Tribolium castaneum: one gene and its partners. The protein of the gene in region 1 binds, or shares a complex with, the protein of each later gene. Links are inferred from orthologs where the notes say so. Each region holds a gene or a part of one and is shown on either strand. Other genes may lie near its edges. The genes, in order: lobo, Gas8 and dynein regulatory complex subunit 3.

Region 1 (5,516 bases):
CCAAACAAAAAAAAAACACTTTAGGTAAATACACGCACTTTTTGATTGTTCTCTTATTTAACCATTCATAAACTTACAGACCTGTTGCCACAGCAACCAATGATCCGTCATAGCAACGTATTTGAATTATACAGATTGATTAAAGCTACTGGTTTAATCCCCGGTCATTCGTGTAACGTGATGTCATACATTAAAGAGGTATACTCGTATACAGATATTCAGAGAAGTGTCGGGAGGCACCATTGTAAGGGTCTCGTTACTTTCATAACCCACAATTCGAAATAATTACTCTAATCAGGGAGATTTCGACCGTTGTTGAAGTAATCTCCGTCAGTTTAAATAAACAAAGGAAAAACAAGCTTGACTTCTAAAAATGGTAAATACGCCGAAATATTTTTTAAATTAATTTAAAAATTATTCGAAATTATTAAACAATTTCACTGTACTAAGATGAATTACGAAATAAAAGACAGTTTTGACGCTTAATTTAAACAAATCTAGAACCCGGAGGCAGTAAAAAATACGTATACTTTTAATGTAAATAAATATCTAAAATAAATAATTAAATGCTTTCAAAAACATAAAAAAATTGGATTTTTTAGTAATACAAAAAATGGAGGATGCGCCGGGCAAACTAGTAACATACATTTAATAAGTCGAATTTTGAATTTATAAACAAAGTAAAATTAATAATTTGTCTTTCTAAGAGTGGATTTTACAATCGCCCGATAACTTCATCCTGGGAATAAATTTTCAAAAATATATTGTTGTAACAATTGTAACCATAGTAATTATACTTCGAATAACTTATCCGAGGTTTATCTGGCAATAAAAAAATCAGACTTTTAAAGTAGTGCTAACAAGTTAACAACAAGATATCATTTATTGGTAAATTGTAAAAATGGTGGATGCGCCGGGAAAGTTAATCATTCTAGTGGATAAGTAAATATTAAGAAAACGAGAAACGAGATACAAAATAACTCTATTTTCTATACTTCAAAATTTAGAACGGCGGAGTAAAAATGCCCTTAATTTGAAAAAATGCAAGAACGTTTAGAAACAAAATCTTAATACGTTGAGAAAACCTGATTCGATTTTTCACAATAAACATGAGAAAAATTAACAGTTGCGTTCCGTATCATATTTTCCAAAACGCTAGGAGTTCGGTTATTGATGTAGAGAAGAAAATAGTAGAGAATTAAAAGTCCGCAAAACCATATCTCATTAACATTTCAAAACCCAAAGACCTTCAAAGCCGCTCAAACGACAGATTCGTTTAATTTGTACCTGTAGTTGAGTGTGTGGAAAAAACTTTAAAGCAATTTAAACTTAAACGGTTGAAGATAGTAATATGGTTAAGCGGACCTCTTTTCTGTGTTTTGAATCATATTCACAGCGTTTTGAAAAACATGGTGCGGTGCAATAAATGGTAATATTTTTAATGTACCAAATGCAGAAAGTAGTTTGAAAATGTTTGTAAAAATGGTGGAGGTGCCGGGCGAAATATCTTAATTTTATGATAACTATTGAATTATTATCTTTATAGCCAAACCGTTTCTACTCTCCTCACACAACCTTCGTCCGCAAGTCCGGACAGCCCCACGAGCTTGCTTGTGTCCTTTGTTCCCTCCTCATAGGCCTCGGTTACGATGCCTACGTGGTCTTCGGCTACGCAGTGCGAGATATAACGTTACGAATAATGAGTCGTGTCGATTCTCCATACCCCCCCGATGAGAAACAAGAAGATGTACGTGACGAAGGTGAAGACAATAAGAAATACACCGTTAAGCCCCCCAGAGATTTGCGAAGTAAATTTTTATTGATGATGGAACAGAAAAAAATCGATCAGATCAAAGCCGAACAAGAACGCGAAGCCGAACTGGAACGGCAGAGAGAAGAGGTGATGACACACGAAAAAACGACTTGAAACTATTTTTTTGGTGATTAGGAGGAGGAACGGCCGCCGCCGGACGATCTGGAAGGGATGAGGTTCCATTTTTGGGTCCTGATAAGGACAGAAGGTCGCGCCATCGACGAAAATACTTTCGTTGAGCCGAGTACTGGATATGCGCATCCGGTTAATAGTCCGTTGTACAGTGGCATCGAAAGTGTTTGGAATCATTTGAATTATTGGGTATGGCGGGAGTAAAGTGACTATTTTCTTAGGTTTTTTAAACAGGTCAATATGCAAGACTGCAAGGAAGGGTTGGGTACAATCGACTACAATTTGCACGATGTTGAAAAATGGGAACATTTGTTGATCGGAGAGCCGACTCAGTGGAGAGTCACCGTCGAAAATTTAAATATGGATGACGAAGAAGCCGCTTTAGCGAAAATAATGGAAGAAAAACATTTAGACATGCCGATATCTTGGAGCATGAAAATATCTATACCGCACAAAGGTTGATCACACAAAAATTTGAATTTGGTGTCCGAATTTTTGCTATTTCTAGCTCTAAAACAAAAATACCCCGAAGGCATGATCAGTACTTGGTATAAAAAAACACTAGTCGAAGAATACGCCCCTTATATTCAATATGACGGACTTTTAACCAAAATTATGAGATATAAAGACTTTGATTGTACGGAATGTATCACAGTTGAGCAGATTTACGAAAACAGACAAGACAAATTGAAGAAAATTGTTTATGATTTAAAAAGCGATCTAGTCACGGAGTATTTTGGCCCTGGGCGAGAAGATGCCGTGATTGGTATTAAAACCAAATTTTTTGTGTGATAACAAAAACTGAACATGTTTTAGAGCACACTTACTCGAATAAAGACACCGATTCAAATAAGCGGATAATTAAGTTCAACCACAAGGCACGCTACGACGGCTTGGAAAAAATTGAATTCGAGCGGGAACACATGGTTGAATATTACATAGACCGTGACGATTTGTGAGTCGCAAGAGCAAAAAAATTGAGTTAAACACAGGTTTCAGGTTTTATTTTCGCGAAGTGTTCTACGCCCGCAAAGGCCAACCCCCGCCTGGGTTCACCGAAAGTCACCGAAAATTGATTCTAGTTAGTTAAACTAGCGTGCTCTCACACTAACTGACAATTTTATTTCAGAGAATAATCGAGAAATACGAAAGGAACCATAAAGTCCCCGCGAGTCACGATATCGCGACCCGAGAATTCGCAATCGTCGATAGACAGATTCTTCTAAAGTATCATTTCGGGGAAGGAAGAGTCACTTGCTCGACCAGGAATTTCAATAAGCCTTCGATTGCGGAATCGGGGGAGGGAATGAAGTTCACACCTGAACTCACCTGGGGTTATGTCGCCGAAATCGGGGCGAAGCCCCCCACACAGCTGGAGTTGTTCCTTTTATTCCAGAAAATGTTGAAAGAAGAGGAGAAATCCCTGTCGCGGATCCGCGAAATCGAGGACCAGGTTGCAGAGTTTTTGACGCTGAGAGACCACGAAATGGCATTCCCGAAGCTGGACGTCTCGCTATTTAATATCGAGCAGAACGAGGAGTACCGTCAGGGAATGTTGGAGAAAGTTAGGTTTAGGTTTGGCGTTTCCGGTGCTTAAAACCCGAAATTGTAGGAAAAACAAGAACAGGAATATAAAGAAAGGGAAATTGAGGATGCAGGTGTTGAGTATTTGACGCCGTATTTGACTCTGTTGGGAAATCCGGAGAGCGTAACCCCGGTTGAGGCGTTCAAGATTAAGGAGAAGTGTCTCAGTGATTTTAAACAGTTGTTGCTTAATCGGGCCATTTGTATTCAAAAACAGTTCGAACACGTAATTTTTATTCCGTTTTGCGACATTTTTACCATATTTTTCCGTAGTGGACGCAGTATTTGAAAGACAGGCAACAGTGGTACAACATTAATCAAGACACGGTCACAGAAGAGGACGAAATAAAATATTTTCAGGAAGTTAATGACTTGACTTTTCTTTTACAGTGCTACGAAATTCGCTTGGCTCGTCATCGTGACTTATCATTTTTCAGGTATTTAGTTACGTGAAATGTCTCTTTACGTATTATTTTTTTTAGATATGAAGCCGTGGTCAGGTATTTGAATGCACAATTAAAACCACTGATCGAAACATTTGGATAACGTATATTAAAAAATAAAAAATTATGAGATCCATACATTGTGTTGAGTATTCTTACACTTAGGGCCGGTTTATAGAACGCTCCGTTAAAACTTAAATCGTTGTTAAAAGTTAACAACCAAATTGCTTCAGTTTGGTCACATGATCAGTAAAACACGCATTTAATTGCCAGTTAAATTAATGACGCTTCTATAAACCGGTACTTAATAACTAAAAGACCAAGAACCCATTTGACCAATACAGTGACCTTCTTCGTCAAAAGTGGCCAAAGTAAGTTTGCTTAGCTTATTGGTGAGTGAAGGTAAAGATGGTGCATGGTGAGTGGTTCCTACCGTTAATGAAGAATGAGTCTCTGCAAAAATAACATCAACCAAGGTGGCAAAAATTGTAAACTTACCGTTATCGTTACTTATTTGTTGTTCATAAGCCTTATCTGTTTCATCGTTCGTTTTCGCCTTGATATGATTCACAAACCCAGTTATGAGTGTATCCATAAGACTAGCTTGTCTTGAGAAAACTTGTAATATTTTCGAAACCCTTGCTCCATTCTCGACCACCATAAACTGGATAAAAAGACAAGGAAGACAGTTAGGGTCCTCCTCCTTCGACGGTCTTGCATATTCCCAACTGAGTTCCTCAAACCGTAACCCTAACAACAACGACTGGACCAAACACTAGCACCAACGCAACAAAATAAAAACGTACACATTGAGTATCATCTATTATGTAAACACCTTTGGAATTAATAGCTACAAGTACTGGAATGTCTTGGTACGTAATAAGCGATGTTAAGCCACGGACCGGTTGTTCGACTTGTCCCTCGAAAAAAGCAGATCTAAGGCCGAAAATAGAATTTTCCAAAGGCGAGGCACTTACCCATAAAACGGCAACGACCAACAAAACTCTAAATATTTTTTCATCAATTTTCGATTGGTGGCCGAATTCGGGATTCGTTTAAACTGTTCCAAAAGTCGGACCTCTGCCGAATTTTTCGAACTGATGGGTAGCCAAGTCCAAGTCGAGCTTTTCCTCACATGGATGGGCAAGTATTTCGACTGCTCCTCCCTAAAATAGTGGGTCGAATGGACTTGGGGGTTGTACGGCCCTAACTCGACTCGGGCTTGGATACCCCCTAGCATAATATAGTGTGCCACCTCGCACGGATATCGTCCCTCCAGGATATTATGTCTTGCTTCTTCATACAACAGTTCTAAAATTTTTTGGTCCCTAATGAACAAAGAGCAGAGATGTGGAATACAGTTAAATCGAAATCTACTACTTGATTTTCTCCTCTAGATGTTGCGGGAAAAAAATATTCCTCTGGAACATGATCTTCGGTTCGTCCCTTTGTTGCCTATTACTCGACACATGACTGTATTGCCCCACCAAAGCCCGCCAACTTTGCCTGATTTCATACGGCTTATGCGTAGGTTTAAGTTGAAG
Region 2 (5,923 bases), on another chromosome or scaffold:
TTTATTCCTTAGTAACGCATCTACTGTATGCAGTACACCTGGGAGAGAGCTTCTGGGGTTGGTCATTTTGAGACCTCTCTATTTCGCAAACTAAAAATAAAAGACCTACATTTTTTTGCATTTTTGCCATCTCTATTGCTGTTACCGCTAGCACCTCTCCGGTGGGGAGTGAGTTCTGATACAGCCTGTATTTAATTTGAAAACCAAAAAACATTTCAAAAACAATTACTCAAAAACGATTAAATTTTTAACGGACTTGATACTGTACTCATATTCCATATTTTGCCGGACCCTGTATGCAAGAGGCGTCTGCTATAGGTCTATTAACGCAATATCTCAAAAACTTAGAATTATTATACAAAATTCAACGTTTGCTATTAAATAGTTTGGAATTTTCTCAAAGTACGTAAATTTTTTAAAATTTTAGAATTTTTTAATAACAAAGGTTGACTTCTGTACAATTATTATTAGATTTTTTCTGAAATGTAATAAAAAATGCTTACATATTTTCATCTATGCAACCATTTATTCAGTCTAGGGATATCTAAAGATTAGGATATGACACGACGTACAAATAAAACGTTTCCATCCTCGTTAGTTCCGTTAATGTCGCTAAAGAACGTAGTTGTTCCATTACCGTCAAGTTTTCAGAGCAATAAATTTGAAAAAATGCTTGTATTTGTATAACAATTAGTACAAAGCAAACAAAAAAAAACAACAACTAGAGGATGAAATTCTCAATAAATAAGATACAAAAGTAATGCGAAAATTTTATCGTAAACTATATTTAAAAAAAAGTATAAACTTTGCTCTATTTGCACTCTACCTCAGATTTTTCAAAACGCTACGAATACAGTTTACAGATGCAAGAAAAATTTTAGAAAGAAAGTTGTAGAGAATTAAATTTCCTACAAAAAAGTCTGGGAAACTATGTCCATATCTTCAACCAGTTGGGCCCCAAAGTCGTTCTCAGACGCTCAAGCGACGGATTTGGTTTATTTTACCGGTGGTCAGATCTTGGAATGTTAAATTATACATAAACCATTATTAATAGAAATATGGTGTTGCAGTTTTTTTGTAGAAAATTTAATTCTCTATAACTTTGTTCCTTACACATTTTTGGTATCTTTAACCGTTTTTACTACGTTCTCAAAAATATAAGGTGGAACGCAAGTTGATAATTCAAAGCAATAATTCTTTGCGCACCGGCGCATATTTATCAAAACACTGGGAATACGGAACTGAATTTTTTGTAAAAAAAGTACTTGACACCATATTTCTATCTTCTACAGTTTATACAGGGTGCATCAGAAATACGTGTCTTAATTTTAACAGGTAATAGAGCTCAACAAATAAAACATCTTTTCTATTTGTAATTTTTCAATAAAAAATTTGCAAATTTACTCAAAATTTGAAAAAAGATAACATACTGAAACGTGTACTCATCTATAAGTACAAAAATAAGTGAACTGAACTATTTTCGTTGTGATAGAAACGGACAATTTAAACAATTTAAAACAACAATGCAAATGGTTGCCATGAATGCAATAATTATTAAACACTGACCGACTCGTTTGCACAAAAGAAAGGAGGAAAACGAAGAAAATTATAAATAACAATTTTGCAAAATGTTATATAGAAATGTTGTTCTCTTTGATGAGTTTTATTACGTGTTAAAATTAACACACGAATTTTTGATACATCCTGTATACATAGTGGATAAAAGTGGGTTGTTTCTAAATTTCTATAAATATGCAACCAATAATAGCGATTCCTGCTGACCAGATGGGTAATTGTTAAAAAAATTAATTTAATCCAAGATTACATTGTTCTGGATAGTGTCAAGTTTGTCTTGACAGTTCATTATAGATTTTGTTATAGATTATTATTATTTAAATGATAAAAAACCAGTGTTAATTTAAATAATGTTTTAAAAATCAAATTCCAAGTCGTACGTGCAATTAGTATTTTTGGTTGCATTTTAGGACATGTTAGAAGTAACCCACTATTGACTCACCCTGTAATAATTAACTTTATACCTACACTTGGTTCAGCGTCTTCAAGGCATAAACCGATGACGTTAGAAATATGGTCTGGCGGTCTTCTTTACAGGAAATTTAATTCATTTGAAATTTTTTCCCAATTTTAAATCTTAAATAATTTTTTCTCATGTTTGTTATGAAAATTTTAGTCGTCAGTTTTTGTTAAGAGTGCAGAGCTTAACATTTCTGCATTTTTTCCAAGTAATGAGTGAGTTGGTTGGATTTAAATTAATTTAAAATCGCTTGAAGCGCCCTCATTTTTTCTCCGCTGTACTATTTTTTTAAGTTCAGAAATTTCTGCGATTTTCTGTCTCGTTTCGTCTCCAAACTAATAAATAGTCCTCCATAATTCACACTGTAGTATACTAGGTTATAAAAATAAAGTTTTGTGCATCCGATTTTAATAATTACTGGTTTAATAAGAAATAACAAATAAAAGATTAATTCTTCACAAGTTTTTTTGTCACTCCGACACATTTTCTAAATAGTCATTTAGATGCCAAATTTTCTGACAGAATATTTTTAGTGTCATTGACTCATTGGGCAGAATTCTCCCTTAAAATAAGTCCATTCCAAAGAAATCGATACGCGGGTAGTAACCATCTAAACAAATAGTTTCTTGAAGAACTGCTAGCTAGTTCATTCACTTTCACTTCGTAAAATGGTTCAGTATTTTAATAATTGTTTGAATTTTCGCTAATTAAAATTTTCCAGCCTCCCAAAAAGAAAGGTGGAAAAGGAAAAGGCGGTTCGGGAAATATCATCGATGGAGTGGACACAACTCAAATGACCCGAGAGCAGCTCGAGGTCTTCTGCCACCGAATAAAAGAGGAAAACGAACGAGAAAGAGAAGAACGAAATTTCTTTCAACTCGAAAGAGATAAATTACGGACGTTTTGGGAAATCACAAAAAATGAACTTGAAGAAGCTAAAGCAAAACTCAGGTGCAAAAATTAAAAATTTGTAAAAACAAACACTAGAATAAAAATTTGTAGAAACAAAGACCGACAGATTGAGGAAGCGGCTGAGAAAAACGAAGAAGAACTGAAATTTTACAAGCAAAAAGTCAAACATTTGCAATACGAACACCAAAACAACTTAACAGAATGTAAAGCTGAAGCGCTTGTTTCGCTGAAAATGTCACAAGATGACCACACTGAACAGGAAAGAGAATTGTTGCGAGATAAGCGAGATTTGAAAGCGCAAATGCGGGAACAAGAAGTCGCCCATCAAGATCAAGTCAAAGCTTTAAAACTGGTACCTATGATTATTTGAATTTAAATAGTTATTATTATTAATAATACGGCTGTCGTTATGCAACGAGCGTATGCGATACCCGAGTGTTTTCGTATGCCTGTTTTTTGTTAGAACATTTTAATTTAAAACACGTTGCTATGAAAAGTGTGTTTTAAAATAGCGAAAACCCGTTGCTATGGGAAACGTGTTTTAAAATAATGTTTATAATCTAGGATTCAGATATTAAAAAAAAGACTTAAAATAGTACCAAAAAAAAATAGTTATTAATGATAAGAGTCCAAAAACACAAGCCTAAAGTTTGAGAGCCCTCTTTATGCAACGAGCGTATGCGAGTTTCATACCTAGACACCCGAGAAGTTTAAGCGTTTTCGTATGAGTGTTATTCAATTTTTTTTTGTTGGAATATTTTAATTTAAAATACGTTGCTATTGGAAGCGTGTTTTAAAATAACGAAAACATGTTGCTATGGGAAACGTGTTTTAGAATAGTGTTTATGATTTAGGATTCTAATATCAAAAAGAAGGCTTAAAATGTTACCAACAAAAAATAGTTATTAATAATACGAGTGCAAAAACACAAGATCAAAGTTCGAAGGCTGTCGTTATGAAACGAGCATATGCGAGTTGCATACCTAAACACCCAAGAACTTTAAGCGTCTTCGTTTGAGTGTTATTTAAAAATTTTTGTTGGAACATTTTAATTTAAAACACGTTGCTATGAAAAGCGTGTTTTAAAATAACGAAAACACGTTGCTATGGGAAACGTGTTTTAAAATAATGATCATAATCTAGGATTCAGATATTAAAAAAATGCTTAAAATGTTATAAAAAAAATAGTTATTAATAATAAGAGTCCGAAAACACAAGCTTAAAGTTTGAGGGCTGTTTTTATGCAACGAGCGCATGCGAGACACCCGAGAAGTTTAAGCGTTTTCGTATGAGTGTTATTCAATTTTTTTTGTTGAAATATTTTAATTTAAAATACGTTGCTATGGGAAGCGTGTTTTAAAATAACGAAAACACGTTGCTATGGGAAACGTGTTTTAGAATAGTGTTTATAATTTAGGATTCAGATATTAAAAAGAAGGCTTAAAATGTTACTAACAAAAATAGTTATTAATAATAAGAGTAAAACACAAGCTTAAAGTTTGAGGGCGTATGCAAGTTACATACCTAGACACCTGAGAATATGTTAATTTAAAACACGTGGCTATAAAAAGCGTGTTTTAAAATAGCGAAAACCCGTTGCTATGGGAAACGTGTTTTAAAATAATGTTTATAATCTAGGATTCAGATATTAAAAAAAAGACTTAAAATAGTACCAAAAAAAAATAGTTATTAATGATAAGAGTCCAAAAACACAAGCCTAAAGTTTGAGAGCCCTCTTTATGCAACGAGCGTATGCGAGTTTCATACCTAGACACCCGAGAAGTTTAAGCGTTTTCGTATGAGTGTTATTCAATTTTTTTTTGTTGAAATATTTTAATTTAAAATACGTTGCTATGGGAAGCGTGTTTTAGAATAGTGTTTATGATTTATGATTCTGATATTAAAAAGAAGGCTTAAAATGTTACCAACAAAAAATAGTTATTAATAATACGAGTGCGAAAACACAAGCTTAAAGTTAGAGGGCTGTCATTATGCAACGAGCATATGCGAGTTGCATACCTAGACACCCGAGAACTTTAAGCGTTTTCGTATGAGTGTTATTCAATTTTTTTTTGTTGGAACATTTTATTTTTTAAAACACGTTGCTATGGGAAGCGTGCTTTAAAATAATGTTTATAATCTAGGATTGAGATATAAAAAAAGGCTTAAAATATTACCAATAAAAAAATAATTGTTTTTAGCAACATAGTGAAGAGATAAGCACCATCAGAAACCAATTCGAACTGAAAGAAAAAGAACTGGAAAATAAATACGAAAAAAAATTTGCTGACCTGAAACAAGAATTAAACATCAAACATACGTAATCAAGGAATAAATGTGCAAGTTTTTTACATTATTTACCATATTTGTTGTAGGATGGAAATGTCGGAGCTGGAAGAGCGCAAAAATAACCAAATTACTGATTTGACAAAACATCACGAGAAAGTGTTCAATGAAATGAAGAACTATTACAATGACATTACTTTAAACAACTTGGCGTTAATAAGTAGCTTGAAAGTAACAAATAATTATAAAAAAATTAAGTGATGTCTTTTAATTTCAAATTGCAGGACCAAATGGAAGTTCTTCGGAAACAAAACGAACGAATGAGTAAACAAGTCGCTGACATAACTGCCGAAAACAAGCGCTTAACTGAACCTTTAAAACAAGCACAAATTGATGTTGCTGAGTATAAACGACAACTTGAACATTACGAAAAGGACAAGTTATCACTGGCGGTAACAAATTACTAATTTGTGGTAAATTTTAATCAGGCAGTCAATTTTAGAACACCAAAGCTAAATTATCGTCCACTAAACAAGAGCTGGATGATTTAAGATGGGCAAACGATGCTTTGCAATTAAGATTTGAAAAGGTGCCTATTTTTATTATTTCGTCCGGTTATTGAAAATTTTCCAGCTCGAGGCCGAAAAAGACGAACTGAGTCGAAGATTCATCGAGGCAATTCTAGACGTT
Region 3 (5,923 bases), on another chromosome or scaffold:
ATGAATTTGGAGCTCCTTACTGAAATATCAAACACTTTGACTCAACTGGAACAGAACAAGTGTAGAGGGTTGATTCTGACCTCGGTAATTTTTAAATAATTCCCAGTTAGTTTTCTTGACAATGGGAATTTTTAGAGCTCCAAGAGTGTCTTTAGTGCCGGCTTGGACATCCTTGAGATGTACAAACCGGACCCCAGCCGCTTGAAAGAATGGTGGACTGCTTTACAGCAAACTTGGATTAAACTTTACGGTTCTTCGTACCCTACTGTGGCAGTTATCAATGTAAGAGTGCATTAATTATGAGCGTTTCCAAAACTAATTGTTTGAATTAGGGCCACGCCCCAGCTGGGGGCTGTTTGCTGTCCTTGTCGTGTGAATACAGAATAATGTTGAACAATTTCACCATTGGTTTAAACGAGACCCAACTTGGGATTGTGGCCCCACAATGGTTCATTGCGTCCATGAGGAATGTGATTGGAACGAGACAGACTGAATTGGCTTTAACTAGCGGCAATCTTTTCTCAACTGACGAAGCTTTGAAAATTGGAATGATTGACGAGGTGGCGGCTAGCAAAGAGGATGGCATTGCAAGAGCGGAGAAGTTTTGCGGAAGATTCGCCAGAATTCCGCCAATTGCAAGAGCCAGATCCAAGTTGGGAGTGCGAGGCGCTGACATACAAGTAAGCCTAATTTCAGCAAATCTAAACACCAATAACTCACTTATCAGAGCAACATATTTTATCCACTCTCAAGCACCTTTAATAAATAAATTTATTAAACTAGTCATGACGAAGTTGCATTCAGAACTGTTGTAAAGTGATTTCGCATCAAGGTCCTTCAATTGTATTTTTTGTATTCATTATCATTGTTTATAACAGTTTTATAAAATTATGCAACGTGTCCCAGCGAGTTGGAAGAGACTGCTAACCTTCCAAATGTTACAATATTAAAAAAAAGTTGTGTTAAAAAGGCTTCGATACTGACCTATGAGCTTAAATTATTTTCAAGTATATAGAAATTATCTCAAAAATAATTTGTTATCCAAAAAACCCCAAGATCTTTTAGTACTGAAATTGTTGGTAATACTTTCGAATTAAGTTTATACTAGAAGTTGAGGGTACTATCTTTCTGCAGAAATTAATCAGTTGGCATTTATCCGTATTTTTTTTAAGTTTCAAAAACTAGGTAGGTAAAATCATTATTAAAAATGCAAGGAAATATAACGAAATGTTTTATTAAGGAAACTCACCAAGGAAACATATTTTTATCTCAACATATTATGTGATGCAATTAGTATTATGATTTTTTTATAGACTTTTTTGGCATTTTTGTATTTAAGGCTCAATTATATATTTTGTAAAAATGAGTTTTTATTTCAGGACCTCACTAACAATCTCCAAAAAGATTACGAATATGTGGCGAATTACGTAGCTCAGGACAGTGTGCAAAAGGGGTTGGAAATGTATCTGCAATCATTGAAGCAGAAACAGAAATAAGGATATTATAAGTTGATATTCTTTTATATAATGAAGTGTAAAATTTATTATCCAAACCAAGAATATGTGTAAGTACTTTTGTAAAAATAAAGTATATTTTACTATCTTACTTATTCCAAGGCTATAACGTCATCCTTGAGATCAGGCGCGTATTCCTTATTCAAATCCTCAAACTCCTGCCTTTGGATTTCAAGAAAGTGGTTAATTTCCAGCACTTTCCCCCTGTTTCGCTTGATCTCATTCCTACAAGTTGTGGATATTTTTCGGGAAAAGTAAAGGCATAACTTACGTGTTTAAATCGTCGATTAAATCATTTAGCCAATCCTTGGCGTTCGAAATGAGAGTGTCTTCTCTCGCATCGATAATCTGCATGTGCATATCGTGACTTGTTGCCAACGCGTTGTGCAGAAGATCCTTATCTGCCATAAGCTGTAATCTCATTGAAATTATTAATAAAGCAAGTGCCGGAAGTTACCGGTTTAAGAACTGCGGGAACTTCGATTTCCTCATTCAAATTGGCATTTGTTTGAAACTTTGTGGCCAAATCGCCGATATTTTCAGCGTAGCTCACTTCCAGCTCTCTGATCTGCGTAAAGAAAGCCTGCGACGATTCAATGAAATTATTAACGAGTTCTGTGATGTTGTGTTCGAAAGTTTGGTTGACTTCTTCCATTTGTTCGTAAAGTTCCAGTTCCAGTTTCATTAGCGCTTTCCAAACTTCGTGCAACATCTCGTCGTACTCCACCACGAAGACGTCGCATTTGTCGATAAACTCGTCGTAATTTATTTCGTTTGAGTTCAGCTGGTTTTGCACGTTTTTGATTTTGAGGAACAGTATTGCCTTCTTCTCCAGGAAGATCTCCATGTGTTTCTACGGACGAAATTTGGGGCTATAAGTAAATTCGAAAGGGGGCGTACAATGCTTTCGTCTTGATTGTCCTTATTTGCGTCTTCGACGCATTTTAAGAACTGGTCCTGTTCGGTTTTGCGCAGGATGTACTGTTGTTGCCCATTTTCGAATATTTGTTTACACAGTTCGATGAAGTTCTCCTCGTACTCGTCGTAGAATTCTTGCGCGTCTTCGCCGATTTTCATCAAGTTCATGCCGTCGGTGTCGTTGGCAAATAAAGAGTCGAACAAATGGCGAGTGTTTAAATACTCCACGAAACTAGAGGCGTGAAGTTCGGCATCGGCCAACTCTTGTTCCTTTATCGCAGTGATTTCCCGTTCCTTCTCCTCTTTCTCCAACAATGCTCGCAGTTTTGCACTAAAAAACTCTCCTACTGATGTTCACTTAAACAATTTTAGCTAGAAACCTGAAAGTTTCGTGTCCAAGTTCCCGTTCCGACTCGTATATTAATTTATATTCGTAGTAAACGAGTTGTGGCAGAAAAACTGCAATAAATAAACGAAAATCTTCATCCTCGGCACAGGGATTCCCCACTAGATTTAACGATTTTAAATTGCCGAATCGTCGCAAATACAGAATCTATAAAATATTTGTGTATTCTAGAACACAATTATTTTTCGTAATACATTGTCCAAGTCGTCAATTTTGTTTCTTCCAATGCTAAAAACTGTTAATTTTGTTAAAGTGTCCATGTTCTCCAAAACCGTGATTTCGTTATCATACAGACTCAGCTTTTCAAGGTTGCGAAGCTCGTCTAAATTTTCGATTTTAGCTATTTTATTGAATGATAAATTTAGTTCAGTTAAGTTCACCAGACTTTCCAAATTTTCGATTTTTTCCAGTAAATTATTGTTGAGATTTAATTTCGTTAAAGATGTCAGCACCCACAAGTGGTCAATTCTTAAGATATCTACGGATAGGGACACAGAAAGTCGGGTTTAAATTTTACAAGAATTGTTACTCAGAAATTCTAAGCGAATCTCGGTGACGTCTTCAAGGGGGATTTTTTCGATCTCCGCCAAGCGACCCGCTTCACCCTTGGGGCCCTGGTCTTTGATACATTTCTCCAGAAGGGCATTGTCTATTACTTTTGGCTCTTTCAATTTACAAGGATTCATTTTTACAAATTTTCATTAGGCACACTAAATCGATACAAATACCTTTTCAAGCATTCTTGAAATTATTGATGTCACAATGACTGTTGTTTAAGTACCTTATTGTTGCTATGGACTTGAGAAATCATGAATCTTTGAGTTTGCCGAGCTTGTGCTCTTGAGTTTTATTATTTTTCATTGTGAAATTATATCAATTACAAAAAACTCTTTACAGGTAGATTATAACGTCTAAGTAGATAAAAATAGCCCAGAGAGGGTTTTTGGAGTAAAAAAATCTTTACAATTAAGAGTTTGCGAAATTGTAGTCGAGGCGAAGCCGAGTGCTGATACCGCAACTTATAAAAAAATACTCAAAATTGTAAAATTACGTTGTATTCTGTATCAAAGAAGAAATGACAACAGCACAGTTATAAATGCAGAAATGCTCGCTTTGGTAGTATATTACGTGAAAGAACGGAAAAATAACATAAAAAAAGAACTTTAAATTGTGAACCGCACCTCGTATAATTTTTGATCACGTGACACATGTCTGACGTCTTTTTATTCAGAAGTTTACACAACTTGGGAATGAAAAGATCAATAAATTAGAAAAACAGTGACTAACACACCAACAAGCGCGTCATGCAGTTTATTTGTTTGAAATAAAATTGTTATTTTCGTCGGAAAATTTTAGATTTAGGAGCGGAAGTATTGCGCAAGCGCCGCAGTGTTTTCTTGTTTTGACAAGTGACAGTGACAGAAGTCAAGTGACAACAAGAAAGTGCAATCGTGAAATTTAATTTAGAAATAAAAAATGTCTTTTTTTGGAACTGCATTAGGAGGAAATCCCTTTTCGACGCCCGTAGGATCGCGAATTGGTGAGTCCCGCTTGGCATTGCCGGATTTCATTTAATTTTTTTCCGTTGTTAAAATCGATTTAATAAAACGTAAATAGAACTAGAAACCGGTGCTGGCACTGTATTTTATTGTTTAGATTACATTGTTTATCACTTTTGTTGGCTGATTCACCTATATCTATTCATCAGACTGTTTAATTACTGTTTCTGGTAATAATTCTAAGGTACTTCGTCATCGCTGTCTGTGTAGGTGTAGGTTTTTGCATTTACATTTTGTTTGTCACAACTACAGCGTGGTTTTTATTTCGTACCAAATTTGTTTATAATTATTTACCAATAGGTGTGACTTATACTACTCTACATAGGCTATCAACTGAGACGTTTTATGCTTTCTTCACGGGGTCCTATGGAAATTTGTCTATTTAAACCTATTATTAAAAAAATACTTTGCGTTATCGGTACAATAATCTCTTATGTATGTCACAACAGTTAGGAATAATACCGCTGTAGTACCCACATTCTTTGATAATTTTATGGGCAAAACGTAGTTGAAATATTTTTCATCGTTGCTTTAAAATAAATATACATATGTATTTATGCTAATTCAGATCAGTTAATTAATTGGAACTATTTTTGCGCGTTCTTAATCACCTTAGAATAAAAATAACAATATAAATTCTTTTCTATCGCCTATTTACATGAATAATTCAAGTGTAAAATAGAGCAACAAGAATTTTCGAAAATGACCAATAACATAGTAATAATAAGTCCATAAACAATCATTCAACAATGTGTTGTGAGACATTGGTAAATATTTAAGTAATGAACCAGACATATTTTTTTCAGATAAAATTTTAAAATGTTTGGCTAACAAAAAACAACGTCCTCTCCAAAACTTTTCTTTACAATTATTATAATTAATTGTGATTACTGCAGCGTGCACCACATTTATTTAAGTGATTAGATTTAATTATTAAAATGGATGTGAACCTAGTCATTTGGTAAATTAAATTGTACTACAAAATTAATAGTAAAGTTAATTTGTACGTAAAATGTTGCAATAGCATGCAACTGTATGGGCGAGGCATGTGTTACATGTATTACAGTTATGAGTCGGTTTGTAGGTGGATTTTCACAATTTTGTATATTTGGAGGAAAAAAACTCCATTGCCATTTTTAGTTTTTAATTTAGACTAATATGCAATGAAGGAAAAATTGTTAATGAGTATTACGACACCACTCGCTTGATCTTACAAGTCCAATATAGGTAGTAAACTGAGAGCACAATACAAGGCTAAGTGACTTCATCGATTTTAAATTTGCGTGTTGAATAGTTTACTTTAAAGATTACTTCAAAGTTAATAATACTGTTCTAAACCGCCTTGCATAAATATTGCTTTCAAGTGATAAGTTTAGTTGAGAAAATGTACAGTACGGTTAAAAAAATACACGTTAACACAAAATTTGTAACAGTAATTTTTTCTTTGCAACACAAATTTATAAAGGCGAAAACGTCGGATTAAATCTTTAATTTTCCAAAAAATGTTTTCTTATATTTTATAAAAT

The links.
Region 2: lobo (region 1) and Gas8 share a complex: the UniProt entries of both Homo sapiens proteins name them as parts of the nexin-dynein regulatory complex. The link is inferred for Tribolium castaneum from reciprocal best matches to the Homo sapiens genes DRC7 and DRC4.
Region 3: lobo (region 1) and dynein regulatory complex subunit 3 share a complex: the UniProt entries of both Homo sapiens proteins name them as parts of the nexin-dynein regulatory complex. The link is inferred for Tribolium castaneum from reciprocal best matches to the Homo sapiens genes DRC7 and DRC3.

The regions. Positions count from the first base shown.
Region 1 is NC_087396.1:18,011,205-18,016,720, forward strand, and holds the end of lobo (dynein regulatory complex subunit 7), read left to right. Parts: intron 1-1,546; coding exon 1,547-1,900; intron 1,901-1,948; coding exon 1,949-2,134; intron 2,135-2,179; coding exon 2,180-2,402; intron 2,403-2,453; coding exon 2,454-2,711; intron 2,712-2,761; coding exon 2,762-2,900; intron 2,901-2,944; coding exon 2,945-3,026; intron 3,027-3,074; coding exon 3,075-3,509; intron 3,510-3,557; coding exon 3,558-3,755; intron 3,756-3,802; coding exon 3,803-3,966; intron 3,967-4,011; coding exon 4,012-4,075; 3' UTR 4,076-4,113; downstream 4,114-5,516. Other genes in the region: Bili (FERM domain-containing protein 8), read right to left, coding at 4,277-4,425, 4,471-4,735, 4,779-4,908, 4,950-5,300, 5,353-5,516. UniProt on the Homo sapiens protein: Component of the nexin-dynein regulatory complex (N-DRC) a key regulator of ciliary/flagellar motility which maintains the alignment and integrity of the distal axoneme and regulates microtubule sliding in motile axonemes.
Region 2 is NC_087400.1:9,426,106-9,432,028, forward strand, and holds the start of Gas8 (dynein regulatory complex subunit 4), read left to right. Parts: upstream 1-2,516; 5' UTR 2,517-2,703; coding exon 2,704-2,706; intron 2,707-2,756; coding exon 2,757-2,986; intron 2,987-3,037; coding exon 3,038-3,299; intron 3,300-5,148; coding exon 5,149-5,267; intron 5,268-5,322; coding exon 5,323-5,464; intron 5,465-5,517; coding exon 5,518-5,685; intron 5,686-5,735; coding exon 5,736-5,822; intron 5,823-5,866; coding exon 5,867-5,923. UniProt on the Homo sapiens protein: Component of the nexin-dynein regulatory complex (N-DRC), a key regulator of ciliary/flagellar motility which maintains the alignment and integrity of the distal axoneme and regulates microtubule sliding in motile axonemes.
Region 3 is NC_087394.1:30,245,951-30,251,873, reverse strand, and holds dynein regulatory complex subunit 3, read right to left. Parts: upstream 3,900-5,923; 5' UTR 3,525-3,899; coding exon 3,368-3,524; intron 3,317-3,367; coding exon 3,033-3,316; intron 2,986-3,032; coding exon 2,813-2,985; intron 2,764-2,812; coding exon 2,415-2,763; intron 2,368-2,414; coding exon 1,972-2,367; exon of another isoform or gene 1,926-1,971; coding exon 1,786-1,925; exon of another isoform or gene 1,740-1,785; coding exon 1,607-1,739; 3' UTR 1,515-1,606; downstream 1-1,514. Other genes in the region: enoyl-CoA delta isomerase 1, mitochondrial, read left to right, coding at 1-84, 136-282, 333-680, 1,380-1,496; TOM1-like protein 2, read left to right, coding at 4,315-4,378. UniProt on the Homo sapiens protein: Component of the nexin-dynein regulatory complex (N-DRC) a key regulator of ciliary/flagellar motility which maintains the alignment and integrity of the distal axoneme and regulates microtubule sliding in motile axonemes.